4 linked regions of the Stegostoma tigrinum genome follow. The protein of the gene in region 4 interacts with the protein of the main gene of each other region in a biochemical or structural test. Links are inferred from orthologs where the notes say so. Each region holds a gene or a part of one and is shown on either strand. Other genes may lie near its edges.

Evidence for each region.
Region 1: of the proteins of cul2 (region 4) and dcun1d5, one has a biochemical effect on the other in vitro, tested with the Homo sapiens proteins (2 studies listed by BioGRID, with this or other methods). The link is inferred for Stegostoma tigrinum from reciprocal best matches to the Homo sapiens genes CUL2 and DCUN1D5.
Region 2: of the proteins of cul2 (region 4) and dcun1d4, one has a biochemical effect on the other in vitro, tested with the Homo sapiens proteins (2 studies listed by BioGRID, with this or other methods). The link is inferred for Stegostoma tigrinum from reciprocal best matches to the Homo sapiens genes CUL2 and DCUN1D4.
Region 3: of the proteins of cul2 (region 4) and dcun1d3, one has a biochemical effect on the other in vitro, tested with the Homo sapiens proteins (2 studies listed by BioGRID, with this or other methods). The link is inferred for Stegostoma tigrinum from reciprocal best matches to the Homo sapiens genes CUL2 and DCUN1D3.

Annotation. Positions count from the first base shown.
Region 1 is NC_081359.1:67,007,172-67,014,064, forward strand, and holds the start of dcun1d5 (DCN1-like protein 5), read right to left. Parts: upstream 3,010-6,893; 5' UTR 2,896-3,009; intron 2,603-2,895; exon of another isoform or gene 2,380-2,602; intron 1,756-2,379; 5' UTR 1,697-1,755; intron 1-1,696. UniProt on the Homo sapiens protein: Contributes to the neddylation of all cullins by transferring NEDD8 from N-terminally acetylated NEDD8-conjugating E2s enzyme to different cullin C-terminal domain-RBX complexes which is necessary for the activation of cullin-RING E3 ubiquitin ligases (CRLs).
Region 2 is NC_081354.1:106,281,284-106,288,273, reverse strand, and holds the start of dcun1d4 (DCN1-like protein 4), read right to left. Parts: upstream 3,004-6,990; 5' UTR 2,894-3,003; coding exon 2,875-2,893; intron 1-2,874. UniProt on the Homo sapiens protein: Contributes to the neddylation of all cullins by transferring NEDD8 from N-terminally acetylated NEDD8-conjugating E2s enzyme to different cullin C-terminal domain-RBX complexes which are necessary for the activation of cullin-RING E3 ubiquitin ligases (CRLs).
Region 3 is NC_081376.1:49,316,788-49,324,609, reverse strand, and holds the start of dcun1d3 (DCN1-like protein 3), read right to left. Parts: upstream 3,007-7,822; 5' UTR 2,594-3,006; intron 1-2,593. Other genes in the region: lyrm1 (LYR motif containing protein 1), read left to right, coding at 3,775-3,792. UniProt on the Homo sapiens protein: Contributes to the neddylation of all cullins by transferring NEDD8 from N-terminally acetylated NEDD8-conjugating E2s enzyme to different cullin C-terminal domain-RBX complexes and may play a role in the cell cycle progression by regulating the SCF ubiquitin E3 ligase complex, after UV damage.
Region 4 is NC_081355.1:130,397,825-130,405,671, forward strand, and holds the start of cul2 (cullin-2), read right to left. Parts: upstream 3,005-7,847; 5' UTR 2,803-3,004; intron 1-2,802.

The sequences.
Region 1 (6,893 bases), on a different chromosome or scaffold from region 4:
CCCTGGAGGATGTTGCCAAACAGAGACCTAAAGCTGCAGGTGTGCATAACTCCTTGAAAGTGGAGTCACAGCGAGACACAGTGGTCAAGAAGGCATTTGACACACCTGCCTTCTATAGGAAATAATTTGTTAAACTGGAATGGGTGCAGAAGGGATTTAAAAGAATGTTGTAGTGACTGGAGAGTTTCAGTTATAGGAAGAGGTTGAATAGGCTGGGGCTTTATTTTTCCTGGAGCATCAGAGGCTGAGGGGGGACCTCAGAGGTTTATAAAAGCGTGAACGACTTGGGTAGGGTAACTAGCCACAGTCCTTATCCTAAGGTGGGAAAGTCCAAAAACTAGAGGGGATGAGTTTAAAGTGAGAAGGTGAAAACGATCCGAGCGGCAACGTTGTCACAGAGGGTGGTGAGTATATGGAATGAACTGCTAGAGGAAGTGGTGGAGACACGTACAATTACAACATTTAAAAGGCATCTGGATGGGTATATGAATAGGAAGTGTTTAGAAGGAGATGAGCTAAATGCTGGGAAATGGGACTACGTCAGATTGGGGTGTCTGTTCAGCATGGACAAGTTGGACCAAGGGATCTGCTTCTGTCCTCTAACTTTTTATGCCCCTTATCGAGAAGGCTGAAAGCAAGGAGCTAGACAAGCTGAAGAGCCACTGTAATAGATTAGGCTTAAAGAAGCAAGGATGCTTCAGGTGCACAGGTTGTGCCACAGGACTGGATTGGGAAAATATCGTAGTAATTAACCAGCAATGAGTCAAATCAAAGTTGTGGGACTCAAATCAGGGGCTGCTTGGATCAACCTAATCTCGTTTCTATAAGCTTCTTCATCCTATGTGTACAATTAATGCAGGGGCCAAGCTGAAAAATGAATGGTGGAACAGGCTTGAAGGGCCGAATGGCCTATTCCTACTCCTGTTTTGTATTGTTTTATTTAATTGTTCATTGTCTCAGCATCTCCCAATGATAATCAAATACTTCTTATTTATGGGACAAGTTGGTACTGGCATGAAGCTAAGATATGGTTTGCCCGGACTGTCAGGAAGCTTTTGATAGGGTCACACACAATAAATTAGCATCTTAACTTTACTGTCCCAGGAATCAGTCTGGTAAACCATCTTTGCATTCCCTTCATTGCAAGAGTACCCTTCCTCAGATGAAGAGAAAAACTGTACACAACCTTCCAGATGTGGTGTCACTAAAGCCCTATACTCAATTGCTAACCTTAACCCTATCCCCCATTTAACTTTGAGACAGCTAAAGCTGTCAAGTCATTGACAAGTGCATGGCTTGTCAACCATATTAACATGTTTGAAGTCAGATATCAGTTAGACTGAATTTGTGTTTCTAGTGGCATTGCATAAAATTCATTCCACACCTGGATGAAGAAAAATTAGAGACGGAACATTCGATTTAAGATTACATTCTACAGTCATTACTATTTGTTTTCTAAAGCACAGTCTGACTAGAAGATTTCTATTATCACTCATTCAGCAGATTCCTTATTTTCGACATCCTGAAATGCACAAATCAAAAGTGTGGAGGCTAGTAGAGAACAGAACTGCATCATGTGTTATGTCAAAGGTCTGCTCGATCAATTTCAAGAGATCTTTTTTCACATCAGAACCTCACACAATCATGGCCCAGTCAAGAGGAACAAAAATACCAAAGTGGGTAGCTTAATACTTACCAGCCGATTGAACGTCCGAGAGATCTGTTGGAAGTCTGCCAGAATGAGCTAGGCTCCCACTAGAAAACGGTAAAGACGACAGCGTCAAAATAATATTTCTGTCGATATTCTTCAGGCACAAGCTACAACAACTCATGAAGCATTTTCCTGATATACAATTCAAAATATGAAAATACCACTCAAGAACGGCTTCTTTTTTCCCCGACACATTATTTGCACTGCAAATTGACCGTAAATAACGAAGAGAGATGGCAAGACCCAAAATGTGGATTTAATCACGTAAACAAAAATATTCTGGGCGATTTAACAATTTTTTCTCAACCTTTTCCCAGACCTGATTTCCGAAGATTACATTTATATTTGGCCCTGCAAAACCAAACTGAGATAACTAGGTTTGAAATGAGTTTCCTCGAAAACTGTAAAAAATACCGAGGCGGTTAACTCTCTACGCAATTCGGGTGATGAGGAGACACTGCGCAGTTTGTAAAAGAGAAGCCACCGGCCCTGAAAATCTCTCCGGTGCCAGCAGGAGCTGCAGCCAGAGCGGGGACTGCACCAGGCCCTGTCCCTTCAAAAATGCCTCACCACATCGCGACCGCGGTGAAAGCTGTTCAAAAGAAAACGTTAGTCGTCCTCGACTGAGTGCATGACTTGGACTCCGATCAAAAGCAAAACAAAGTTACCAAGACTTCGCACGGAGTCGCCGCCAGGACGTTAGACTTGGGGATTGGGGGAGGGGTTGGTATATGCTCTCTCGATCTGTGTGTTTAGTCGTGGAGCTGATCTTCTAGCCCTCCATTTCCTGTTGGGTTAAAACTCCGCCGCCTCCAGCATCTCATCTGGGCCAGTTTCAAGTATTTTCGGGTTGGTTCAGTACCTCACCGCTCCTGACAAAGAAACAGCCCTCACACCACACCCCCCCCCCCCCCCAACCGCCTCCACCACCGGCAACTGCTCCACCTCCTCCCCCAGGAATCAGCTCCCGGAGGGAGGTTTCACTCAAACCCTGCCCCGTGCGATCCGGGGTTCACAGAGCACCAGGACCGCGCATGCTGCAGGGAGCCGGATCCCTGGCTCTACCCCCAGGCACTCGCGTCAACGGGGCGGCTCGGAGGCAGTGAGCAGAGCCGGGTTCGCTCGCCGTCTTCCCCAGGCCGTGATTTATGAGACGGGAACACGGATTCCCAGCACAGTCCCACCTCCCGCTGTAGGGCTGCGGTGTACGAGCAACTCCGTCCGGCTGCTCTCCTCCACTGCCGCCGCCTCAGCTTCTCCGGCTCAGGGGACCGGCACGGCGAGTACTTCCGGGGCTAAATGACGACCGGGGTCAAGGGTCAGCAAGATACCGCGTCCTGGGAATGGCTGGGGTAGTGGCTGGATTGGCCGTGGGTGGGGGGAAGGGAAAGTGAATCAGCCATGTCAGAGACAAAAGTGCAAAAGATCGGACTTTGTGAAACTTATAAAGTACAGTGCACCTTGAAATAATTTACGTGACGGAATAATTCTTAGCCAAAGTTGTTTTGCTACACAGCAATAAATCACCGTATTAAAAGATCCCCCCTCCAAATTGCTCGCAGAGATGGAGCGGTCAGATCGTCCACCCGACGGAGGGAGATCCTGCAGCTGAGACTGTTCCATTAAAGTTCAAATCCCCGCATTTCCTTTTTAACGCGCAAACACTCCTTGCCTTAAATATTGTCTCTATAATAAGCAATGCACATTTGTGAGATTAGTCGCCGACACAATGTGATGATTTTTGAACCCCCTCCTTCCATTGATGTTCTTTTTGTGTACTCGCGTGGACTGGCCTGCCGGGCTTTTAGGGACGTGTGGGGGGGGGGGTGGAGAACGCGGCTGTCACTCTCACGGCTTGAGTCCTCCTTTAAAGGGGCAGGCACCGCCCCGCAGTCGACTGCAGCTTCTCCTCTCCCGGCAGGAGGAGGGCTCTTGAAGACCCTGTGCGGTTTTTGTTGCGACGACTCGCCGCCCCTCCAGCGTACGTCATTTCCGGAAGGCTGGCTGTTGCCGTGTCGGGTTACCGGGGACGCTCGGCGTTGCCAACAACGCGGGAGGTGCTGACTGTGGGTGGCCCGGCCCGGCTCGGACCAGCGGGCAAGACCAGGCCGGAGAGGGGAGGAGGTCCACTACATTCGGTGAGCTACAGTCATGATAACGCGGCAGTGTTCCTGGTGACCGAAGGCCGTTGTTTCTGGGAGCTGATGGCCAGGGCCGGACATCGTTGAAATTGACTGATCACTAATGTGACTTTCTCCCAGACACACATTCCATTTCTATAGAAATCGTCAGGGAGAAAACTTGCCCTGTGGCCGATTGCTGGGATTTCTATATGATGCTGGATGGCTCTTCGGCGTAATTTAAGCAAATAGCTATTCAGTAGAAAGTGAATAAGAAAAGTGACAGTTCACAGCCACCAACAGTTTCGAGAACAAAGGTGAGATTGAGCAGAAGGCATTTTTTTGCCATCTCTTTATAAATCTCGTGCCCCCACTTCCCACCTTGCTGTCATTATAAATACTTGTCTGAAGTATCAGAAGCATCTCATTCTTATGAGGGATGAAAATGGACAAGTTTGAGGAGACTTAAGCGTGTGGTAAGGTCCTGGAGAGCATTGCTGAAAAAGAGATCTTGGAGTGCAGGTTCATAGTTCCTTGAAAGTGGAGTTGAAGTTAGACAGAATAGTGAAGTGGATGTTCGGTATAAAAACCAAAGGTGCAGGAAAAGCTGAGCAGGTCTGGCAGCATCAGAAGAAAAAAAAATCAGAGTTAACGTTTCGGGTCTGGTGACCTTCCATTTCGGGTCCAGTGACTGGACCTGAAATGTTAGCTCTGATTTTTTCCTATGCAGATGCTGCCAGACTTGCTCAGCTTTTCCAGCACCTTTTGATTTTGTTCCTAACTTAGAACATCCACAGTTCTTTTGGTTTTTATTTAGGGTGTTTGGTATGTTTACTTTTATTGATCAGTGCATTGAATGTAGGAGTTGGGATGGCATATTGCAGCTGTGCAGGACATTGGTTACGCTACTTTTGAAAAAACTGTGTTCAAGTCTGGTCTCATTGCTACAGGAGGGATGTTATGAAATTTGAAGGGGTTCAGAAAACATTTATAAGGATGTTGCCAGGGTTGGAGGATTTGGGCTGAGGCTATTTTCCTCGGAGGGTTAGAGGCTGAAGGGTAACCTTTATCGTAGTTTATAAAACCATGAGGAGCATGGATAGGGTGAATAGACAAGGCCTTTTCTCCAGGGTAGGGGAGTCCAAAATGAGAGGGCATAGTTTTAAGGTGAAAGGGGAATAATTGAAAAGGGACTGAAGGGACAACTTCTACATGGAGAGGGAGGTGTATGTTTGGAATGAGCTGCCAAAGGAAGTAGTAGAGGCTGGTACGGTTACAACATTTACGGTTACACCATTTAAAAGGCATCTGGATGGGTTTATGAACAGGAAGGGTTTAGACAGATATGGCCCAAATTCTGGCAAATAGGAATAGATTAATTTAGGATATCTAGTTGGCGTGGATGAGTTGGACTGAAGGCTCTGTTTCCATGCTCTTCATCTCTGACACTATGACTCTTGTTAGGCATAAATACTTATTCTAGCTGATAACTTGTAAAGGGCTATAGAGTCCAACCTGATTAGATGTATAAGGACCCGAGAATGTAATTGGAGGTAGATAAAGTTATATAGAATAAGCTAGTCGAATTCTAATTATCATAAACATGCAAATGAAATTATATAATCTAAGTTCATCATTGTAGAATATGTGTATATTCTAAATTTACTGCTGTGATGCTGGGGGTGAGAAAGGTGAGATAATGACAATATTTCCAGACTAGAGGAACAAAGAGGCTTATGGGAAGATTTAATAGGAATTATTTAAATCATTATGTTTTGCTAAGTTGAATAGGGAATATATTTTTCCCCTGACAACTCCAATGACAAGTGGCTATTGATTTAAAATTCTCAAACTGAGGAGAAATGAGTTAAAATAAAAACTTAAATGCAGAATTGTTTGAGCATGAACTGTTCTGATAAAGGAAGTCAATGGAGAAAAGAATCTTAAGAGAAAAATGAGCCAATATTGTAGTGATTGGCATAGGAAATTAAATTGATTTTGCTTTAGCAAAGAACAGGTGGTGATTATATGGTACAATGTGCTAAAAGAGGTAGAGTCCTTAGTCCTGAACCATGAGGCCTGGGTTCAAGTCCCACCTGCTCCAGATCTGTGTCGTAACATCTCGGAACAGGTTGATTTAGAAAAATAGGTTAAATTTAGAAAAACAGAAAATTGGATGTCTATGTGACAATGCTGTCAGTTTAAAAGTTCTTTTCTCTTTTTGATGAGAGATTGTAAAGTAGAGGTGCAGGCTGGCTACTGAAGATGACTTCTGTAAGCAATTTATGAGGTGTTGTGTTTTTTTTTGACAGGCTGACTGGCTATGGCCAGTTCCCTCAGATCCAGATTTATGGTTTTTTCTCAATAATATCGGAAGCTCTTGGGGTCTCAATAGAGTTGGGAACTTCAGTGAATGTTTCCTGGCTGCTGCTATCTCTGTATTTTCTCTTGATGATTTTAACTCTGGGAGTGGAGAATTTTATGTGAGAATCCGTGCCTGCATTTGCCTTTTTGCTAAGTTGTGTGTCTTTGGGATGTCACTATATTGGAACAGTTAACTTGTACCAGTTACTGTATCTATTATTTAGCAAAGTTTTCCAACAGTTAATTTATTTGATTAACTCTTTCTTTTGTTTTTATTTTAACAATAGTGTTTAAATCAATTGTAGTTGGCTTAACAACGTATAGTTTGACCAGTTATATCGCAACTGGAACATGGCTTTTCATATCTATCTTTAAAATAATAAAAAGTTAGGTTCTAGAATCCTTTCTTAAAATATTTTGAGGTGATCTGGCCTGGTCCATAACAGTGCATCATTGGTCTTGAATACTTTAGGCACTGTGGGAGATAGAGTGCTTTATGTCCCCCTCCTTCAGTCCCTAAACACCCGCCCATCACTTTTTTGATTTCAGTATAGCCTTTAACAGGCTTTGCTTGTTAATATGCAACTGGCTACATGGGTATTTTCCTGATGGTGAAAGAAGGAATGAAATCTATTCACAATGGTGTCCTTTTTTCTATCTCTATTAAAATTTAATAAAAAGGTGATTTGTTGGGGGGA
Region 2 (6,990 bases), on a different chromosome or scaffold from region 4:
AAAATCAGAGTTTCAGTGGAACAGTCATAGGAACTGGTACATGTAAAAAGGGCCAAGACCCTTCTAGTTTATGTTTCACCATCTCGGTAATCGCATGATACAACAATAAAGTTGTTACAGCAATCAATCCTAACAATTAATCTACAGAAACAAAAATAATCTCTGGATTTTGTCAGATTTGCAAATTAATGCACAATTATAATTAATACCAGCTTCCATAATATAACACCAATGATTTTTTTCTAGAAAGATATAAAAACAAATATTAACTAGGAAACAATTTAGCAAATTTCAAAAACCTTATGTTATTGTGTTATACTCAGTATTGATATGATCATTGGAACAGCTTTGACAGAGGAGGTACAAAATCTTCAAAAATAATTCTGCAAACTAAAGGACCATTTAATATATTAGTGTAGTAAATACAGATTGTAGAGAGGTTCAAATAATCCACAAAGAGTGGTGCACTTTTCTACAGTTTCATTATTTAAAAGTGGTTACCTTGCTAAGGAAGCAGTGACAAACAATGAGGATGATAAATCACAAATTTCACTGCTGTGCAAGAACAAATACCTGTCAGTGAATTTGGCTGCTTTCAGTCTTCAGTTAGGCTTTATTCAAGTTCAGGAGATCATTAAGGCCCCTTAATCAGTTTATTGCATTATAATTCACTGATTTCATCATTATCTCAAATGAACTGCAAATGATTTAATTCGGAGTATTTTACCCAGAACTTTAAAAAAAGATGAACAATATTGTTACATTACCATTGTCCTCAAAAGGAAACTTTTAAACACTGGTCACTTTTAAAGAGCAAGTCAAATATGTCATGTTTATTACATAGGTGAGATATTTAAAGCCAAATTATTAAGCATTAATTTACATCAAAACTAGTGAATTTTCCTCTTTATTTACAAATCATTTTAAGTTCTGCATATTGACATTTAAATTTCCATTATTATATCACTATGTGCAGATTAAAAGTACAAATTGTCTTAAAATGCAAATAATTGATGAACAGTACCTTAGTACCGCTTGCTGTGAGGTCACTTATCTACACTTGGTTCTAAACTCTCAGCTCTAACTATCCTGTACTTCCCAGTTCTTTCACATTCAGTACTGCATATCTCAGAACATCCCCCTCTATCTCATGTGTTAGATTTTCACACTTAGATGTCTGAACTTCTTGAACTCCAACAGCCTGAGAATCCAGCTGTGATTGCTTCGGACATTTTATACTCTAGTTCTAAAAACTTGGCTTATACCGAAACATAAAAGTATCCACTTACATTTGGATGTAACAAAAGTGTGCAAATACAACTTATATTGAATACTGTTAAGTATTGGGTTCTCTTCATCCTGTTCCACAAGTTCAAATAAAAACTACTGTACTACAAAACTGGTCTATCATAGTTGTAATTAATGTAAAATGCAACTTTGGTTTATATCCTCAACTTAACAGACCAAATTTCAACTTTCAAAATGTGGATTGAAACTGAATGCACGCAAAAGACAATACTTGTCTAGTACAATGAACAATAAACTTCCACAACTGGAAATCAGGACAGAAGTTAATACATCTTCATTCAGGGGGTTCTATGACACTGGGCCACAGATGAGAAGTCAGCAATTTCTTTATTCTTTATTTCTTCATTTTTCTGCCTTAAAATTCTTTAATTTTGGTTTATTTGTATTTTAAGATGACACTGGAGAGTGGCAACATTATACCACAATTTTTACCATATTTTGTAAGTAAACAGACATGACAATAAATCAAAATCATGCCATGACTTTATTCATAAGTGTCATACCTTCCAGTTTTAACAAAAAAAAGTTGCCTTTTATTCTTAGTACAGGTAAACACGCAATTCTAACAAGTAGCAAAACACAGCATTAGCTCGTAGTTGTGAAAGCTGGTTAAGCCATCTAGATCAACTCCAAGCAGACATGATATTCATGCTAAGGTTTCTACAATTAAACAAAACTGAAGGAATTTTGTTAACTACAGTAGAAATCAACTGACCAGAATGCAGAATCATCACCATATCTTGCATAGCCACAGAACTGGGTGAATTTGCCAAGGTGGACAATGTAGTTAAAATAATGCCCGTTCAACAAAAAGGTAAACCCCATTTAAAGTAGAACTAATACGCAAAGAAAAATATATTTATTTAAATAACGGACACTGCGGATGGCCAAAGATGGAAAAAAAACCTAGATAGAGAGTACTGCATTGAGACCAATCTGCCAGAGTGGCCAAGGAGCTGAGCCCCCAGGTAAACGCTTCCCTAGGTTACACCGCATAAAGCAGTCTGGGGATTGCAGTTCCCTTGTGACGCCACTAGGTGTGTCATCACATAATTAGTCGTCATAGAACTACAATTCCCAGAAAACGTCACGAACGTTGCGCCTGCGCGTTGATATACGCGTCCCACATTCTCGTACCCTCCCCAACATCCTGAAATAAATACAACTCCAGACAGCTTCTCAGCAGAGTTGACAAAGCTTCTGCATCGGGGGGAGGGGGAGTAGAGAAAGAGAATAATAATCCCCTTCCTTGCCCAATGCCGCCACCATATCATTCTGCTGATATCCACTTTCGACCATGAATCGGACAAGGAGAAAAAGAATGCGATCAGGTTAGTCAGGGCATTAATATGAGACACTCTGGAAAGAAAACTGCGTCACCTCTCTTCTGTGACACACGAATCATCTCCATTAAAGAGACGCAGGTGAAACAGAATACCTTGCACTAAACGCAGACAAAAACAAATGAACCCTGTAGTGCTGACAAAGGAAATGGCATAGCCATGTGAAATATGTATGCACCATGGGGGACAGCAGTAGTTAGAGCGGCGGATCCTCGATACTTACTGACTGCATCCGCGTGCATTTTCAGGGCGAGGATGGTTCAGAACGCGCCGGACAACCGCTCCCGCTCGTGCCGGTGAAGCCAGCCAGTAACAACGGAAGTCCCGCCTGCGCCTCTCTGCGATTGGCTCCCCAGCCCGCCCACCTCGCGTAACTCTCAGGGCAGCGTTCCTCTGGCTACTGGAATGTCAATCACAGGGGCCGCCACGGATGGGCGGGACCGGTGGTGTGGTTCGGCACGGCTTGGCTCCGCCTTCAGCCTCGGGGAGAACGGTAGCTGTCGGTACAGGTTATTTATCACCCATTCGTTGCGATGTACACGTTTAAAGCAAATTGAAACACATACTCCTATGATGAGGGATGTTGAATGGTGTCCTGGCGTTATTTATCCCCCGCCCCCCCCTCCCCCGGCTAACTTATACTGTTTTCTAATGAAGTCGCCACCTCGTCGTTGCAGTAAATAATAGGAATGAGTCCCCATCCTAGCAACAGAGGGATCCTGGACCAATCAGAGTACCGGTCCGTGGCCTGTTGTACCGGTTATTGGGGGAGGGGAGAGGTGAACCACTTGATCTGGATTGTGCCGTTGAGGTCGTGGCTATGGTTACATTTTTATTCAATAAATCTGCATTTAGATTTACACTGACTCAGCGATAATCTGCCAAATTCCGTTCCCCAGTAATCACCCCGCTTTCTTACATGACTTGTCTTAATTCTCCCCACGCTTGAACGAGTTCAATCGATTTGCAAACTCCTCACTCCCGTTGAAGATTTCTCGCTTCCAGTGCCCACTGTAAGGAAGAAAGACGAAGAAATTATACGTCTGTCAGTCACACTTTATCATGGCTAGGTTTGGCTAAGGCGAATGTAGGTCCTTTACTGGCAGTCACTAGAAGTCATAATGAGGAATAAGAGAAATGGTAGATGAGTTTGTGTTTGTTTTCACCGAGGATGGTGCAAGCTATTTCCCCGAACCAGAGATCGAATCCAGCAAATTAGTATTAATAAAAAAAGTTCTACTGGAGAAAAAGTGGAGCTGAAAGTTGGCCTTCAAGGACCTGATAGTTTAAATCCCACACAGTTTAAAGACGTGGCTATCAAGATAATGAAGGAAACAAATTACTGCAGATGCTACAAAAAAAAGCTGGAGATCACAGCGGGTCAGACGACATCCACGAAAGGAAAGAAAGCTAACGTTTCGAGCTTCAGCTGTGATGAAGAGTCATCTAAACTCGAAATGTTCAGCCGACTCTTTCTGCATCGATGCTGTCTGAGCCGCTGTAATCTCCAGCATTTGTTGTGTTTGCTATCGGGACAGTGCGTCGTTGGTCATCAGCTTCTAAATTCTAAGGAGTGATTCCTAAAGGTTGGAAGCTACGTACGTCGTACCACTAATAAATAAGGAAGTGAGAAAGAAAACAGGCGACTGCAGACTTAATAGCTCTCACGAGTAGTAGGGGAAGTGAATTATAAAGAATATGATCAATAGATGAATGGACAAAAATGTAGGGCACAATCATTACGAATTTGCAACTTGGAGGTCAGGGGGCTGTTAGTCACAAAATTGATTATGGAAAGTGAACGGATGTAACAAACTGAAATTTTCAGGTTTTATAGCGTCCCCTGCAGGACCTTCAGCAAATTCAAAACACACGAGAATGGGAGGTTAATAAAATGTGAGGCTGGATGAACACAGCAGGCCAAGCAGCATCTCAGGAGCACAAAAGCTGACGTTTCGGGCCTAGATCCTTCATCAGAGAGGGGGATGGAGAGAGGGAACTGTAATAAATAGGGAGAGAGGGAGGCGGACCGAAGATGGAGAGTAAAGATAGGTGGAGAGAGTATAGGTGGGGAGGTAGGGAGGGGATAGGTCAGTCCAGGGAAGACAGACAGGTCAAGGAGGTGGGATGAGGTTATTAGGTGGACGGGGGTGCGGCTTGGGGTGGGAGGAAGAGATGGGTGAGAGGAAGAACGGTTAGGGAGGCAGAGACAGGTTGGATTGGTTTTGGGATGCAGTGGGTGGGGGGGAAGAGCTGGGCTGGTTGTGTGGTGCAGTGGGGGGAGGGGACGAACTGGGCTGGTTTAGGGATGCAGTAGGGGAAGGGAAGATTTTGAAACTGGTGAAGTCCACATTGATACCATATGGCTGCAGGGTTCCCAGGCGGAATATGAGTTGCTGTTCCTGCAACCTTCGGGTGGCATCATTGTGGCACTGCAGGAGGCCCATGATGGACATGTCATCTAGAGAATGGGAGCGGGAGTGGAAATGGTTTGCGACTGGGAGGTGCAGTTGTTTGTTGCGAACTGAGCGGAGGTGTTCTGCAAAGCGGTCCCCAAGCCTCCGCTTGGTTTCCCTAATGTAGAGGAAGCCGCACTGGGTACAGTGGATGCAGTATACCACATTGGCAGATGTGCAGGTGAACCTCTGCTTAATGTGGAATGTCATCTTGGGGCCTGGGATAGGGGTGAGGGGGCAAGTGTCGCATTTCCTGCGGTTGCAGGGGAAGGTGCCGGGTGTGGTGGGGTTGGAGGGCAGTGTGGAACGAACAAGGGAGTCACGGAGAGAGTGGTCTCTCCGGAAAGCAGACAGGGGTGGGGATGGAAAAATGTCTTGGGTGGTGGGGTCGGATTGTAGATGGCGGAAGTGTCGGAGGATGATGCGTTGTATCCGGAGGTTGGTAGGGTGGTGTGTGAGAACGAGGGGGATCCTCTTAGGGCGGTTGTGGCGGGGGCGGGGTGTGAGGGATGTGTTGCGGGAAATACGGGAGACGCGGTCAAGGGCGTTCTCGATCACTGTGGGGGGAAAGTTGCGGTCCTTCATGGGCCTCCTGCACTGCCACAATGATGCCACCTGAAGGTTGCAGGAACAGCAACTCATATTCCGCCTGGGAACCCTGCAGCCATATGGTATCAATGTGGACTTCACCAGTTTCAAAATCTCCCCTTCCCCTACTGCATCCCTAAACCAGCCCAATTCGTCCCCTCCCCCCACTGCACCACACCACCAGCCCAGCTCTTCCCCCCACCCACTGCATCCCAAAACCAGTCCAACCTGTCTCTGCCTCCCTAACCGGTTCTTCCTCTCACCCATCCCTTCCTCCCACCCCAAGCCGCACCCCCATCTACCTACTAACCTCATCCCACCTCCTTGACCTGTCCGTCTTCCCTGGACTGACCTATCCCCTCCCTACCTCCCCACCTATACTCTCTCCACCTATCTTCTTTACTCTCCATCTTCGGTCCGCCTCCCCCTCTCTCCCTATTTATTCCAGTTCCCTCTCCCCATCCCCCTCTCTGATGAAGGGTCTAGGCCCGAAACGTCAGCTTTTGTGCTCCTGAGATGCTGCTTGGCCTGCTGTGTTCATCCAGCCTCACATTTTATTATCTTGGAATTCTCCAGCATCTGCAGTTCCCATTATCTCAGAATAGGAGGTTATGTGTGGGCATAGATGAAGATTGAGCCAACAGGTTGGAAACAGACCTAGAAATGAACAGATTATTCTCGTGTTGGTAGGCTGTTTCTAGAAGGATATCAGTGGGTCAGAATTTGGGCCCCAGCTGTTTGCAATATATAGGCAATTCGGATGTGGGGTCCAGAATGACATATTTGCAGATGATACAAAGCTAAGTGGAGGGATCTGTGTTGCCTTCAGGCCAGAGATCCTGGTTCAAATCCCACCTGCCTTGAAGGTATGTCATATCATATCCAACCAGGGTGGATGAAAATAACTACAAAGCTGTGCTGTGATTAATTAGATTCCCTACAGTGTGGAAACAGGCCCTTCAGCCCAACAACTCCACACCACCCTTTGCAGCGTCCCACCCAGACCCATCCCCCTATAACACACACACACACCCATGTACACAACGGGCAATTTAACATGGCCAATCCACCTAGCCTGCGCATCTTTGGACTGATAATGATATCAAGTGTTTTGGGAGGATGTGGACAGACTTGGTGATTAGGCAAGAACATGGCAGATGGAATATCTGGATATATGTTGGTAAAATTTGGTTATCCACATTAGTGTAAGTAAACTAAGTATAGAACATTTCTTAAATGGTAAGGTCTGTCATGATCTCATTGAGTGTGGAAGTCATGAAAGGCTGACTGGCCTA
Region 3 (7,822 bases), on a different chromosome or scaffold from region 4:
ACAGCCTCACAGCACCAGGGACCCAGGTTCGATTCCAGCCTCGGGTGACTCTCTGTGCAGAGTTTGCACGTACTCCCAATGTCTGCATGGGCTTCCTCCAGGTGCTCCGGTTTCCGTCCACAGTCCAAAGATGTGCAGGCTAGGTGGATTGGCAATGCTAAATTGCCCATAGTGTTCAGGGGTGTGTGGATTATAGGGGGATGCGTTTGGGTGGGATGGTATAAGGGGTGGTGTGGACTTGTTGGGCCGAAGGGCCTGTTTTACACTGTAGGGAATTTAATCTAATTTCTTGCTTTACCTGTATGTTAATTTTCTGTATTAGTTATATAAGCACACCCACATTCCTCTGAATATCAAGTATTGATTGTTCTAATTGAAAACTATTGATTTTATACTCTTCCTACTGAAGTGAATAACCTTATTTCCTATCATTACATTGCAACCCCTTCCAACTCAGTTAAAAATATAAAATGTCTTTGCAGATTACATCCTCTTCCCAGCTTACTTTCTCACCTAGTTCCTTATCTACAAAACCAATGAGGTTACACTCGGACCCTTCAACCAAACTGTTGACAATTAATGGTAAATAATGGTATCTCCGAAATTCAGGACTTTTCTAGTTATTGCTTGCCAACCTGAGACCTAACTCTAACCTTCAGGAATCAAGAGTTCAATAATTAAGCACCTTTTCCCATGTCCTTACCCCAAACCCCATACACCAAAGCCTCGTCATCATTTAGCCTGCTACCGCGACCAACTCAGTGTCAGCTAATGGTCCCTCACTCCATCTCCACTTATCATTTACTCCTCCCCAATCCTATCTTCAGCATACAGGCTAACCTTTTCCTAGCTAATTACTTCTGAAGAAGGGTCACTGGACTCAAAACTTTGACTCTGCTTTCTCTCCATAGAGACCTGCCAGACCTGCTGAGTTTTTCCAGTGATTTCTGTTTTTGTTTCCGATTTCCAGCAACCACAGTTCTTACGGGTTTTCTTTAAATCTATTTATTGCTACTCCATTTTTTGCCCTTTATATCAACTTTCACTAATTCTACTACACTAGTCCAATCTCAAGAGCATTTATAATAAATGTGAAGTACTGCAGAAATTGGAGATTTGAAAAAACAATTAGAAAGCAGAGAAATTCAGCACATCAAGAGCTTATACCTTGTGCAGCCCTTTTTGTGACATCTTATTGAATCCTTTTAGAAATCTAAATATGCCTGGGCTGGAACAACTCAGCAATGCGCAGACCGACAGGCTGGAGTTGTCCTCCTTAAAAGGAGAGAAGGCTGAGGGAAGGGATCTGATCAAAGTGTACAAAATTCTGAGGGGCACAGATGGGTAGACACTTTTCCCCTTAATTGAGGGGTAAATAACAAGGGGGCAGTTTTAAGGTTAGGAGCAGGAAGGTTAGAGTGGGTTTGAGGATTTCCTTTTCACCTAGAGGGTTGTGGGCATTTAGAACAGAATGTCTAATAGGACGTTAGAGAAGCCTCAAGTAATTTAAAAAGCTATATAGCTGAACAGTTGAAACTCGATTCTATACTAGGCCACAGGCTAAATGCTGGAAAATGGGATTAAAATAGATCCATATTTGATGGCTGGTGTAGAAACAACAGTCCTCTTTCCATGTTGTAAAATCTCTATGGCTAAGAAGTTGAAATCTAACCTGGTGTTCAGAATAGTATCTATCCCTCTAAGAACATTCCTACAACTAATTATCTAGTCACTAACACATTCTTGTTGTGGAACCTTGCTATGTGCAAATTGGCTGCTGCATTTCAAAAAATGACTTTGAAAATAACATGTTGACTATAAAAATGCTCTGGGGTATTCCAAGGTTGTGAAAGATTATAGAAAATGTTTTGCTTTTAGAAGTAAACAGGTTTCTGCAATGTCCACATGCGTGCATAACACGAGAACCTGAAAGCAGATTGTCACTATTCTGTAATGAATTAATCTGAAAGCTAACTCTAGTAGTGACATAGTACTCGCAAAAGGCCTGTAATTCCAATGACAGGGCAATCCCAGGAGAGGGAAATTCTCATCTGTAGGAAAGGTTGAACTAGGGCAATAGACAAGTGAAAAACAAACTGCTCGGCAATGCTCCATCGCCACCCCTCCCCCATTCAAACTGCATCTTCATTTTAGAACACAGTGCTTGCGTGCAGGACCATTGTTGATGCCTGCAATTGATTACTGTTACGAAGATCAACCTGTCAACAATCTATCTTGAAGCCATTCTGCCTCTACGTTATCATTGAAGAATCATCGCTTGGAAGCACACCATTTATACACTTTATCACCAACATTTATTTTTTCCATTGAAAGGAACATTTCATTCCATGGATTTAAAAAGGAAATTAGGCCATCACTCGTTTTAGCAGGCAACCCAGATTTCAACACCCAAAACAGAAGGAAAGTTATCCATCACACAGACTCAGATAAGGTAGAAAGTGCCACGTGTGAGGGAGATATTTCTTTGATTCAGACTTGAATCAATTGCCTCACCAAAACAAAAAGCCCAACCGCCGTTACCCCACTCCGTTTGTGCTACAACCCAGGTCGATGTCGAAAAACAGAAACTTACAAATAACATGAAACGTGATCAAGCCATCGTCCTGTTTTCCGGGAGAGCGAGTTTAAAAAGCAGACGGCTGAGGAGTTTTTGAGTATTAATTCAGGGTGAGGAGTCAGAGGTCTGCGCGAAGGCACTGAAACAACGACGGGCTTCCCTTGGCCTCGGAGAGAGGAAAGGCAGGAAAGGCGCCAGGCCTTCTCACGACATCATCACGGCCGGGCAACCCGACCTTTTCAAAGCCATAGTCACCCCGGATGGACACTAACGTTCAGCTTTTCGCGAAAGGCACGGACGGAGAAACGGCCACCGTTCCGCTGATAATTTGAGGAGACAGAAACTTCCCCTCATCACTTCCTACTGCGCCGGGCAGCCAGCTTTCCGTCTGCGCATTACCTCATCAAACCTTGCGGTCAGACAACAGTGACGCCATGACGCTGATGACACGAGGCCACACCGCCGCGCGGAGGGGCGGGGAAGAGGAGGAGGTGATGCGCGTGCGCAGAAGGCTTTGGAACGGATCGGAGCTCTGTGTGGATATGAGCCTACGTTCCGGTGGAAGTGCGCATGCGCATTTCCATCAGCTGCCCGGCGGCGATGAGGGAAATGCGCGTGCGCAACTCCGCGGGCGGGCGTGAACCTGGATTGGCGGGCGCGCATGGCGTGTTTGCGTGAATCGGACGGAGTTGCGCGCGTTCGCGGTCAGACGCGGCATCGCGCCCTGGCTTTGGGATTGGGTTGAGCGGGGAGGAGGGCAAAGGGAAGAAGACGCGCGTGCTTGCCGCTCGTGGCCTGGTGAGTGGTACGCATGCGCAGTGCTGGGGCGCGCGCGGTTTTCCGTTGGGATGTCAGATTGGCGGTGTCTCCTCGGTACCCCTCTCCCGTGAATCGGTGTTGACACCGCCGCCTGTGCGCTCTCTCTAAAGTTCGGTATATTCCGCTTCTTTATCCATCCCTGTTCTCCGGTAACGACCGAACGCAAAACAGAAAATAGTAGTTTTATTTTAATTTAGGGCGGGTGGCCCTGGCTCCATCCAACGTGAGGTCACCTGACAGCAGTTTAACTACTTCACGTCTTTATTTTATCTTCTCTTATTTAAAAATTCACAAATCAGAAAGACAACGCGCTGTCGTGATGGACGAATGGTCGGTGTGACGGGCGGTTGAATATTTGGAGAGTGAACTGCGGCCGGATGCTTCATCTTGAGAAGGTGAGGCCGTCCCCTTCTCCCTCGCCTTGTGGCTGGGTAGTTTGTGTGGGTGTTTGGTAAGGGCTGGGGAAGAGAAGAAACGAGCCGTTCACTCGAGCGTTTTGCCTTTTTTTTTCCTTTCTGCATCAGTCATGAATTTATAAACACAGCTGTCGGCTTTTAAACTGAGGCCGTGGGGAGATACTCCCCGATTGCTGAATGAAACTTCTCAAATATAATCCCTGCAGTGTGGAAACAGGCTATTCGGCCCAGAGAGTCCATACTGATCCTCCGAAGAGCATTCCACCCAGACCCATACCCAATCCCTGTATTTTCCATGGCTGACGGACCTAATCAGTGCATCCCTGAACACTATAGGCAATTTAGCTTGGCTAATCTGCCTAACCTGCACATCTTTGGGCTATCGATATTTCTATTAGATGGTTAATACCAGCCCTGCTTTCTTGCGTTTTTCATTGATGTGTAATAAGAAGTCACCTGTAATATAAATTGTTCTTCCATTTGAAATTCAGCATCTAGCCCCTCTTCGGACGATTGCAAGGCAAAATGTTTAGTCATACATCTTTGTTTTGCCTTGATTTACTCATTTTTTTAAACTTTTAGTTCCAAACTTTACTCAATTTTTTCTTAATTTGTACCAAACAGCTAAAATTTAAGAATTAAACTAGCCCTTGTGGATAACAGTCAAGTTTCCATTTTTCTTAAAAAGAACTGTTGCTTTATCTAAAGTTAGAAATTGCAAGCTATAAGAATGTAGCCTACAGGAACTTCAACGCACAATAAACATTCTCACCGAGAGCCTATAAGGCTATGATAAAGTTCATGTGAAATCATAGCCAGTACCGAACTTACACACAACTGGACCACACCATTCTTCATATAACAGATTTCCAGTATCCCCTGATTTGATAAAGTGCTAATGTAATGGTTTTATTTGCTTGTGTTGCTGCACAAATAAATGATAGTATAATTACTTGACTTTCAAGAGTGACAAAAATCTTGACAATTTGAGCTGGCACCTTCAACGTTGCTCTCTAATAGCTTAATTCAGTGACTTGCATTTGTATCCTGTACTGCCTATAACCTTGGCTTCACGGCAGTTTAATCAGGTAAATACTGACAAGTGTCAAATAATCGAGGTAGATACTAAGGGCTAGATCCCTGGAATGGTAGGTTTAACGTATGATGAACGGCTAAGGATCCTGGGATTGTACTCATTAGAGTTTACAAGGTTATGGGGAGATCTAATAGAAATTTACAAGATAATGTATGGTCTAGAAGGGGTGGACGCTAGGAAGTTGTTTCTGTTAGGCGGGGAAACTAGGACCTGTGGGCACAGCCTTAAAATTAGAGGGGGTAAATTTAAAACTGAACTGAGACGGCATTTCTTCAGCCAGAGAGTGGTGGGCATGTGGAATTCATTGCCACGGAGTGCAGTGGAGGCCGGGAAGTTGGATGCCTTCAAGGCAGAAATCAACAAATTCTTGATCTCAGAACGAATCAAGGGCTATGGGGAGAGTGCAGGGAAGTGGAGTTGAAATGCCCATCAGCCATGATTTTAATGGCGGAGTGGACTTGACGGGCCAAATGGCCTTACTTCCATTCCTGTGTCTTATGGTCTTATGGCCATATTCAAGGAGGGGAGACAGAGAGAAGTTTGGAAATTCCAGAGCTGCAGCATGGACCATTGAAGTCATGGCTGAGAACAGTGGGGCAAAGGAACTTTGAGGCATGCAAACTTTCAGGCTGGAGGAAATTACAATGATATAAAGGAGAGATTTGAACCCTATGATAAAAAAGCAAATTTTGTCTAGTGGTAGGTAGAGAGGTAAGTCAGTGAGTATACTGGTTAGTAGATATTTGACTGAGTATATGGACGGTAGAGTTGCAGTGACTTTGGGTTTATGCACAGGCAGTGTCTGCTGATATACAGTCAGCATGGATTTTTCAAAATCATAGTTTTTATTGTGCAGCTGGATATTATTTGTTACGTGTGAAATCCAATAATTAGCATGATGCAGCTTAACCTTCCATGTTTTGGTAACTCTTAAATGCTTCTCCTGACCAGTATAGTCATGTTTCATACTCAGGGCACAGTCCTTAGTGTACTACTCAGAATTTAAATGTCACCATTCGGTGAAATAATCCAGTAGCATTCATCTCCAGTTTTGCAACACTAATGTAGACACTTGCTGTACAAGGCTAGTCCTCTTTCCTCCACCCAGCACTTAACTGAAGCCCACGATCAGGAGGAAATTAGACGCCATCAAGCCAGCAAGCTGACTCTGGAAATCTGATTGGAATTGGTGGTTCACCGGAGGCCAAAACCCCATTTTGCTTGAGCTTCTGACAAGTGCAATGGACTAAAAATAAACTTTAATCCACCACCTCAACTTCTTGTTGTGAGTTATAGAACACAGAACAATACAGCGCCGAACAGGCCCTTCGGCCCTCGATGTTGTGCCGACCTGTGAACTGATCTAATCCCCCTACACTATCCCATCATTATCCATATGCTTATCCAAGGACTGTTTAAATGCCCCTAATGTGGCTGAGTTAACTACATTGGCAGGCAGGGCATTCCACACCCTTACCACTCTGAGTAAAGAACCTGCCACTGACATCTGTCTTAAATCTATCACCCCTCAATTTGTAGCCAAGTCCTCTTGTACAAGCTGAAGTCATCATCCTCGAAAAAGACTCTCACTGTCCACCCTATCTAATCCTCTGATCGTCTTGTATGTCTCTATAAAATCCCCTCTTAGCCTCCTTCTCTCCAACGAGAACAGACCCAAGTCCCTCAGCCTTTCTTCATAGGGCCTTCGCTCTAGACCAGACAACATCCTGGTGAATCTCCTCTGCACCTTTTCCGATGCTTCCACATCCTTCCTGTAATGGGGTGACCAGAACTGCACGCAGTATTCCAAATGAGGTCGCACTAGCATTTTGTACAGTTGCAGCATGACATCATGGCTCCGGAACTCAATCACCGTAAGCCGCCTTAACAGCACTATCAACCTGGGTGGCAACTTTCAGGGATCTATGTACATGGACACCAAGATCCCTCTGCACATCCACACTACCAAGAATCTTTCCATTGACCTGGTATTCTGCCACCTTATTATTCCTCCTAAAGTGAATCACCTCACATTTATCCGTATTAAAATCCATTTGCCACGTTTCAGCCCAATTCTGCAGTTTATCCAAGTTATCTGTGTAATTGCTCCTAAAACTAGGCTGCTTCCAATTGCTCCAGTAGCGTGTGTTTACTGACAATTCCTGGAATTCCAGATGACTTCCAGACTTCCACCCCTTTTTAAAATATTCACAGAAACACCCCACTTCCTGCCAAGCCATTGTTCGCAAGACAAACACATGCCTAGATTAATTGACCATAAACGCTTATTTGACACCAATTAAAACACAAGCATTGAAATTCCAGGAAATTGATGATTTTTTTTCCAATGTTGGCTGAGAGTTTCTGTCCTTTTATTTGTGATATTGCTGGTATATACAACCACCCCATTGACTCAGCGGCTCCCCTTTTCTGAGTACAAAAAGGCTCCAGAAAAGCAAAAAATGGCCTGCTTACCAATCCCATTTGCACACTTCATCCACAGAGTCTTCACTTTTGGAAATTAGGGAACTGGAATCCAGATCTTCTGACCTAGCAATAGGGACACTACCACTGCACTGCAAAATTCAACTTAAAATTGTCAAAATTCTCATGTGGTGTATGTCAATGCATGTATTTCCACCATGTTTTATTTGCAGTTCTGATTCTGCCCCAAACCACCTTTCTGATTCTTAACCTTCCTTTGTAGATTCTAGAACCCATTCCTGTCTAGACCTGTGTGCCAAATTACAACAGCAAGTAGTTTAACAATTCTTATCTCCTAATAATGTTCTCCATTTCTGTGTTAGCTGCATCATTTAAAAAACAAACCTGTCATAACAATAAATAAATAGCACTTTTGTGACTCAAAATAGCATTTAACTGTTAGTGTTTCAATTGAAGGCTCTACATTTG
Region 4 (7,847 bases):
GATGAGGGGGAACGGGGGGGGATGAGGGGGAACGGGGGGATGAGGGGGGAATATGAGGGGGGGGATGAGGGGGGAATATGAGGGGGGGGATGAGGGGGACCGGGGGTGGATGAGGGGGAACGGCGGGGGGATGAGGGGGAACGGGGGGAGGGGATGAGGGGGAACGGGGGGAGGGGATGAGGGGGAACGGGGGGATGAGGGGGAACGGGGGGAGGGGATGAGGGGGAAGGGGGGAGGGGATGAGGGGGAACGGGGGGGGATGGGGAGGGAACGGGGGGGGATGGGGAGGGAACGGGGAGGGATGGGGAGGGGACGAGGGGGGATGGGGAGGGGACGAGGGGGGATGGGGAGGGGACGAGGGGGGATGGGGAGGGGATGAGGGGGAACGGGGGGGTTGAGGGGGAACGGGGGGAGGGGATGAGAGGGAACGGGGGGGATGAGGGGGAACGGGGGGGGATGAGGGGGAACGGGGGGATGAGGGGGAACGGGGGGGATGACGGGGAACGGGGGGGATGACGGGGAACGGGGGGGATGACGGGGAACGGGGGGGATGAGGGGGGGATGAGGGGGAACGGGGGGGATGAGGCGGAACGGGGGGAGGTGATGAGGGGGAACGGGGGGAGGGGATGAGGGGGAACGGGGGGGGATGAGGGGGAACTGGGGGGGAGATGAGGGGGAACGGGGGGGGATATGAGGGGGAACGGGGGGGGATATGAGGGGGAACGGGGGGGGATATGAGGGGGAACGGGGGGGGATATGAGGGGGAACTGGGGGGGAGATGAGGGGGAACGGGGGGGGAGATGAGGGGGAACGGGGGGGGATGAGGGGGAACGGGGGGGGATGAGGGGGAACGGGGGGGGGATGAGGGGGAACGGGGGGGGAAACGGGGGGGGAAACGGGGGGGGGGAAACGGGGGGGGAAACGGGGGGGGAAACGGGGGGGGGGAAACGGGGGGGGGGGAAACGGGGGGGGGGGAAACGGGGGGGGGGGAAACGGGGGGGGGAGAAACGGGGGGGGGAAACGGGGGGGGGAAACGGGGGGGGAAACGGGGGGGGGGAGAAACGGGGGGGGAAATGGGGGGGGGAACGGGGGGGGGAACAACGGGGGGGGGGAACGGGGGGGGGGAACGGGGAAAACGGGGGGGGGGAACGGGGGGGGAAAACGGGGGGGGGGAAAACGGGGGGGGGAAAACGGGGGGGGGGGGAACGGGGGGGGGGGGAACGGGGGGGGGAGAACACGGGGGGGGGGAACACGGGGGGGGGGAACACGGGGGGGGGAGAACACGGGGGGGGGAGAACACGGGGGGGGGAGAACACGGGGGGGGGGAGAACACGGGGGGGGGAGAACACGGGGGGGGGGAACACGGGGGGGGGGAACACGGGGGGGGGAACACGGGGGGGGGGAACACGGGGGGGGGGAACACGGGGGGGGGGACACGGGGGGGGGGGACACGGGGGGGGGGACACGGGGGGGGGAACACGGGGGGGGGAACACGGGGGGGGGGAACACGGGGGGGGGAACACGGGGGGGGGGAACACGGGGGGGGGGGAACACGGGGGGGGGGGAACACGGGGGGGGGGGAACACGGGGGGGGGGAACACGGGGGGGGGGGGAACACGGGGGGGGGGGAACACGGGGGGGGGGAACACGGGGGGGGGGAACACGGGGGGGGGGAACACGGGGGGGGGAACACGGGGGGGGGGAACGGGGGGGGGAACACGGGGGGGGGGAACACGGGGGGGGGGGAACACGGGGGGGGGGGAACACGGGGGGGGGAACACGGGGGGGGAACGGGGGGGGGACGGGGGGGGGACGGGGGGGGGACGGGGGGGGGACGGGGAGGGGGAACGGGGGGGGTGGATGAGGGGGAACGGGGGGGTGGATGAGGGGGAACGGGGGGGGTGGATGAGGGGGAACGGGGGGGAGATGAGGGGGAACGGGGGGGATGAGGGGGAACGGGGGGGGATGAGGGGGAACGGGGGGGGGATGAGGGGGAACGGGGGGGGGATGAGGGGGAACGGGGGGGGGATGAGGGGGAACGGGGGGGGATGAGGGGGAACGGGGGGGGGGATGAGGGGGAACGGGGGGGGGATGAGGCGGAACGGGGGGGGGATGAGGGGGAACGGGGGGGATGAGGGGGAACGGGGGGGGATGAGGGGGAACGGGGGGGGATGAGGGGGAACGGGGGGGGGATGAGGGGGAACGGGGGGGGGATGAGGGGGAACGGGGGGGGGATGAGGGGGAACGGGGGGGGGAACGTGGGGGGGGGAAGGGGGGGAACGTGGGGGGGGGGGAAGGGGGGGAACGTGGGGGGGGGGAAGGGGGGGAACGTGGGGGGGGGGGGAAGGGGGGGAACGTGGGGGGGGGGGGAAGGGGGGGAACGTGGGGGGGGGGGAAGGGGGGGGGAGGGTGTGCAGGTGAGAGTTGGGGCAGAGGAGGGCGGGTAAAGTGACATGATGTTTAATTCTCAGCTGTTTGCTCCCGACCCCTGAAGCTTCTTTCCACAGCCCAGCCCTGGCCTGGCCCGGCCCCGGGGCGCCTCCCGTGCCCTTCAACGAGACACTGGCCCTGGACACAGGCTTTGAAACCTCCTACAACAGCCGGCACCCCCGCCGCGGCCTCTCCGCTCAGGCCCAGCCCGAGAGCAACCCGAAGGCGCCGAGTCACCGTTAAACTGACACCGGGGGCCGACAGGCCGCATCCTCCCCCTCCCCGGCAGGGCCAGGACGGCCTGGGGCCCAGGCAGACAGCCGGCTACCCGTTCACAAAAACGCCGACCGTGTCCCGCACCGAGCTCCTCACCGTCCGAGCCCGGCCTCCAACTGATCGTCTTCGCTGAATCCACGGCGGCCGCTCGGCTCCGGGGCTGGGCTGTTCCCAGCGGCGTCTCTCTCAGTCTCAGTGTGAGTGTGTGCGGCAACCGCGGCTCCCGGACTGACACACACGGAGAGAGAGAGAGAGCGACCCCTGTCCGCCTGGCAATCCGGCTCACACTCACTCACAAACACTCAATCCGGATCACACTCACTCACACACACTCAATCCGGATCACACTCACTCACACACACTCAATCCGGCTCACACTCACTCACAAACACTCAATCCGGATCACACTCACTCACACACACTCAATCCGGATCACACTCACTCACAAACACTCAATCCGGCTCACACTCACTCACAAACACTCAATCCGGATCACACTCACTCACACACACTCAATCCGGCTCACACTCACTCACAAACACTCAATCCGGATCACACTCACTCACACACACTCAATCCGGCTCACACTCACTCACAAACACTCAATCCGGATCACACTCACTCACACACACTCAATCCGGATCACACACACACACACACTCAATCCGGCTCACACTCACACTCAATCCGGATCACACTCACTCACTCATTCACACACTCAATCCGGATCAGACTCACTCACTCATTCACACACTCAATCCGGATCGCACTCATTTACTCAATCTGGATCACACTCACTCAATCCGGATCACACTCACTCACTCACACACTCAACACGGATCACACTCACTCACTCAATCCGGATCACACTCACTCAATCCGGATTGCAGTCACTCACTCACTCAATCCGGATCATACTCACACTCAATCCGGTTCACACTCACTCACTCACTCACACACTCAATCCGGATCACACTCACTCAATCCGGATTGCAGTCACTCACTCACTCAATCCGGATCACACTCACTCAGTCAATCCGGATCACACTCACACTCAATCCGGTTCACACTCACTCACTCACTCACACACTCAATCCGGCTCACACTCACACACACTCAATCCGGATCACACTCACTCACTCAATCCGGATCTCACACACACTCAATCCGGATCACACTCACTCACTCATTCACACACTCAATCCGGATCTCTCTCACTCACTCACTCAATCCGGATCGCACTCACTCAGTCATTCACTCACTCAATCCGGATCGCACTCACTCAGTCATTCACACACTCAATCCAGATCACACGCACTCACTCATTCTCACACTCAATCCGGATCACACTCACTCACTCACACACTCAATCGCAATCAAACTCACACGCTCAATCCCAATCAAACTCACACACTCAATCCAGATCACACTCACTCACTCAAACACTCAATCTGGATCACACTCACTCACTCATTCACACACTCAATCCCGATCACACTCACACTCACTCAATCAATCAATCCAGATCACATTCACTCAATCACACTCAATCCAGATCACACTCACTCACTCACTCAATCCGGATTACACTCACTCACTCAAACACTCAATCCGGATCACACGCACTGACACACTCAATCCGGATCACACTCACTCACTCATTCACACACTCAGTCCCGATCACACTCACTCACACACGCAATCTGGATCACTCTCACAAACTCACACACTCAATCCGGATCACACTCACTCACTCACACACTCAATCCGGATCACGCACACTCAATCTGGATCCGGATCACATTCACTCACTCATTCACACCCTCAATCCCGATCACACTCACTCACACACTCAATCCGGATCGCACTCACTCAATTTGGATCACACTCACTCAAACACTCAATCCGGATCACACTCACTCACACACTCAATCTCAATCAAACTCACTCACTCAATCCGGATCACACTCACTCACTCACTCAATCCGGATCGCACTCACTCAGTCACTCAATCTGGATCACACTCACTCACTCACTCAAACACTCAATCCGGATCACACTCACTTACTCACTCAATCCGGATCACACTCACTCACACACTCAATCCAGATCTCACTCACTCACTCACACACTCAATCCCAATCAAACTCACTCACTCAATCCAGATCACACTCACTCACACACTCAATCCAGATCACACTCACTCACTCACTCACACACTCAATCCCAATCAAACTCACTCACTCAATCCGGATCACACTCACTCACACACTCAATCCGGATCACACTCACTCACTCACACGCTCAATCCAGATCACACTCACTCACTCACTCACACACTCAATCCCAATCAAACTCACTCACTCAATCCGGATCACACTCACTCACACACTCAATCCGGATCACACTCACTCACTCACACACTCAATCTCAATCAAACTCACTCACCAACTCACTCACTCACACACTCAATCCGGATCACACTCACTCACACACCCAATCCGGATCACACTCACTCACTCACTCACAGACTCAATCTCAATCAAACTCAATCCGGATCACGCACACTCAATCTGGATCCGGATCACATTCACTCACTCATTCACACCCTCAATCCCGATCACACTCACTCACACACTCAATCCGGATCGCACTCACTCAATTTGGATCACACTCACTCAAACACTCAATCCGGATCACACTCACTCACACACTCAATCTCAATCAAACTCACTCACTCAATCCGGATCACACTCACTCACTCACTCAATCCGGATCGCACTCACTCAGTCACTCAATCTGGATCACACTCACTCACTCACTCAAACACTCAATCCGGATCACACTCACTTACTCACTCAATCCGGATCACACTCACTCACACACTCAATCCAGATCTCACTCACTCACTCACACACTCAATCCCAATCAAACTCACTCACTCAATCCAGATCACACTCACTCACACACTCAATCCAGATCACACTCACTCACTCACTCACACACTCAATCCCAATCAAACTCACTCACTCAATCCGGATCACACTCACTCACACACTCAATCCGGATCACACTCACTCACTCACACGCACAATCCAGATCACACTCACTCACTCACTCACACACTCAATCCCAATCAAACTCACTCACTCAATCCGGATCACACTCACTCACACACTCAATCCGGATCACACTCACTCACTCACACACTCAATCTCAATCAAACTCACTCACCAACTCACTCACTCACACACTCAATCCGGATCACACTCACTCACACACCCAATCCGGATCACACTCACTCACTCACTCACAGACTCAATCTCAATCAAACTCACTCACCAACTCACTCACTCACACGCCCAATCCAGATCACGACATGCTCAATCTGGATCACACTCACTCACACACTCAATCCGGATCACACTAACTCACTCACTCAATCCGGATCACACTCACACTCAATCTGGTTCTCACTCACTCACTCACTCAATCTGGATCACACTCATTCACACACTCAATCCAGATCACACTCACTCACTCACACACACTGAATCCGGATCACACTCACTCACTCACTCACACGCTCAATCCGGATCACACTCACTCACACACCCAATCCGGATCACACTCACTCACTCACTCACTCACACACTCAATCTCAATCAAACTCACTCACTCAATCCGGATCACACTCACTCACTCACTCACACACTCAATCCGGATCACACTCACTCACACACCCAATCCGGATCACACTCACTCACTCACTCACACACTCAATCTCAATCAAACTCACTCACTCAATCCGGATCACACTCACTCACTCACTCACACACTCAATCCAGATCAGACTCACTCACACACTCAATCCCGATCACACTCACTCACTCACACGCTCAATCCAGATCACACTGACTCACTCACTCAATCTGGATCACACTCACTCACACACTCAATCCAGATCACACTCACTCACTCACTCACACACTCAATCCCAATGAAACTCACTCACTCAATCCGAATCACACTCACTCACACGCTCAATCCAGATCACACTCACTCACTCACACGTTCAATCTGGATCACACTCACTCACTCACACACACTCAATCCCAATCAAACTCACTCACTCAATCAGGATCACACTCACTCACACGCTCAATCCGGATCACACTCACTCAAACACTCAATTTGGATCACACTCACTCACACACTCAATCCAAATCAACCTCACTCACTCAATCCGGATCACACTCACTCACTCACATGCTCAATCCAGCTCACACTCACACACTCAATCCGGATCACACTCACGCACTCATTCACACACTCAATCCCGATCTCTCTCTCTCACTCACTCACTCACTCACTCACCCACCCACACACTCACTCAGTCCGGATCACACTCACTCACTCATTCACACCCTCAATCCTGATCACACTCACTCACACACTCAATCCGGATCGCACTCACTCACACACTCAATCCAGATCGCACTCACTCACTCAAATACTCAATCCGGATCACACTCACTCACTCAATCCGGATCACACTCACACTCAATCCGGATCACACTCACTCACACACTCAATCCGGATCACACTCACTCACTCACACACTCAATCCCAATCAAACTCACTCACTCAATCCGGATCACACTCACTCACACACTCAATCCGGATCACACTCACTCACACACTCAATCCCAATCAAACTCACTCACTCAATCTGGATCACACTCACTCACTCACTCAATCCGGATCGCACTCACTCAATCCGGATCACACTCACTCACTCACTCAAACACTCAATCCGGATCTCACTCACTCACTCAATCCGGATCACACTCACTCACACACTCAACCCCAATCAAACTCACTCACTCAATCCGGATCACACTCACTCACTCACTCTCACACTCAATCCAGATCTCACTCACTCAAACACTCGATCTGGATCACACTCACTCACTCAATCCGGATCACACTGACTCACACACTCAATCCCAATCAAACTCACTCACTCAATCCGGATCACACTCACTCACTCACTCACACGCCCAATCCAGATCACACTCACTCACTCACATGCTCAATCCGGATCACACTCACTCATACACTCAATCCGGATCACACTC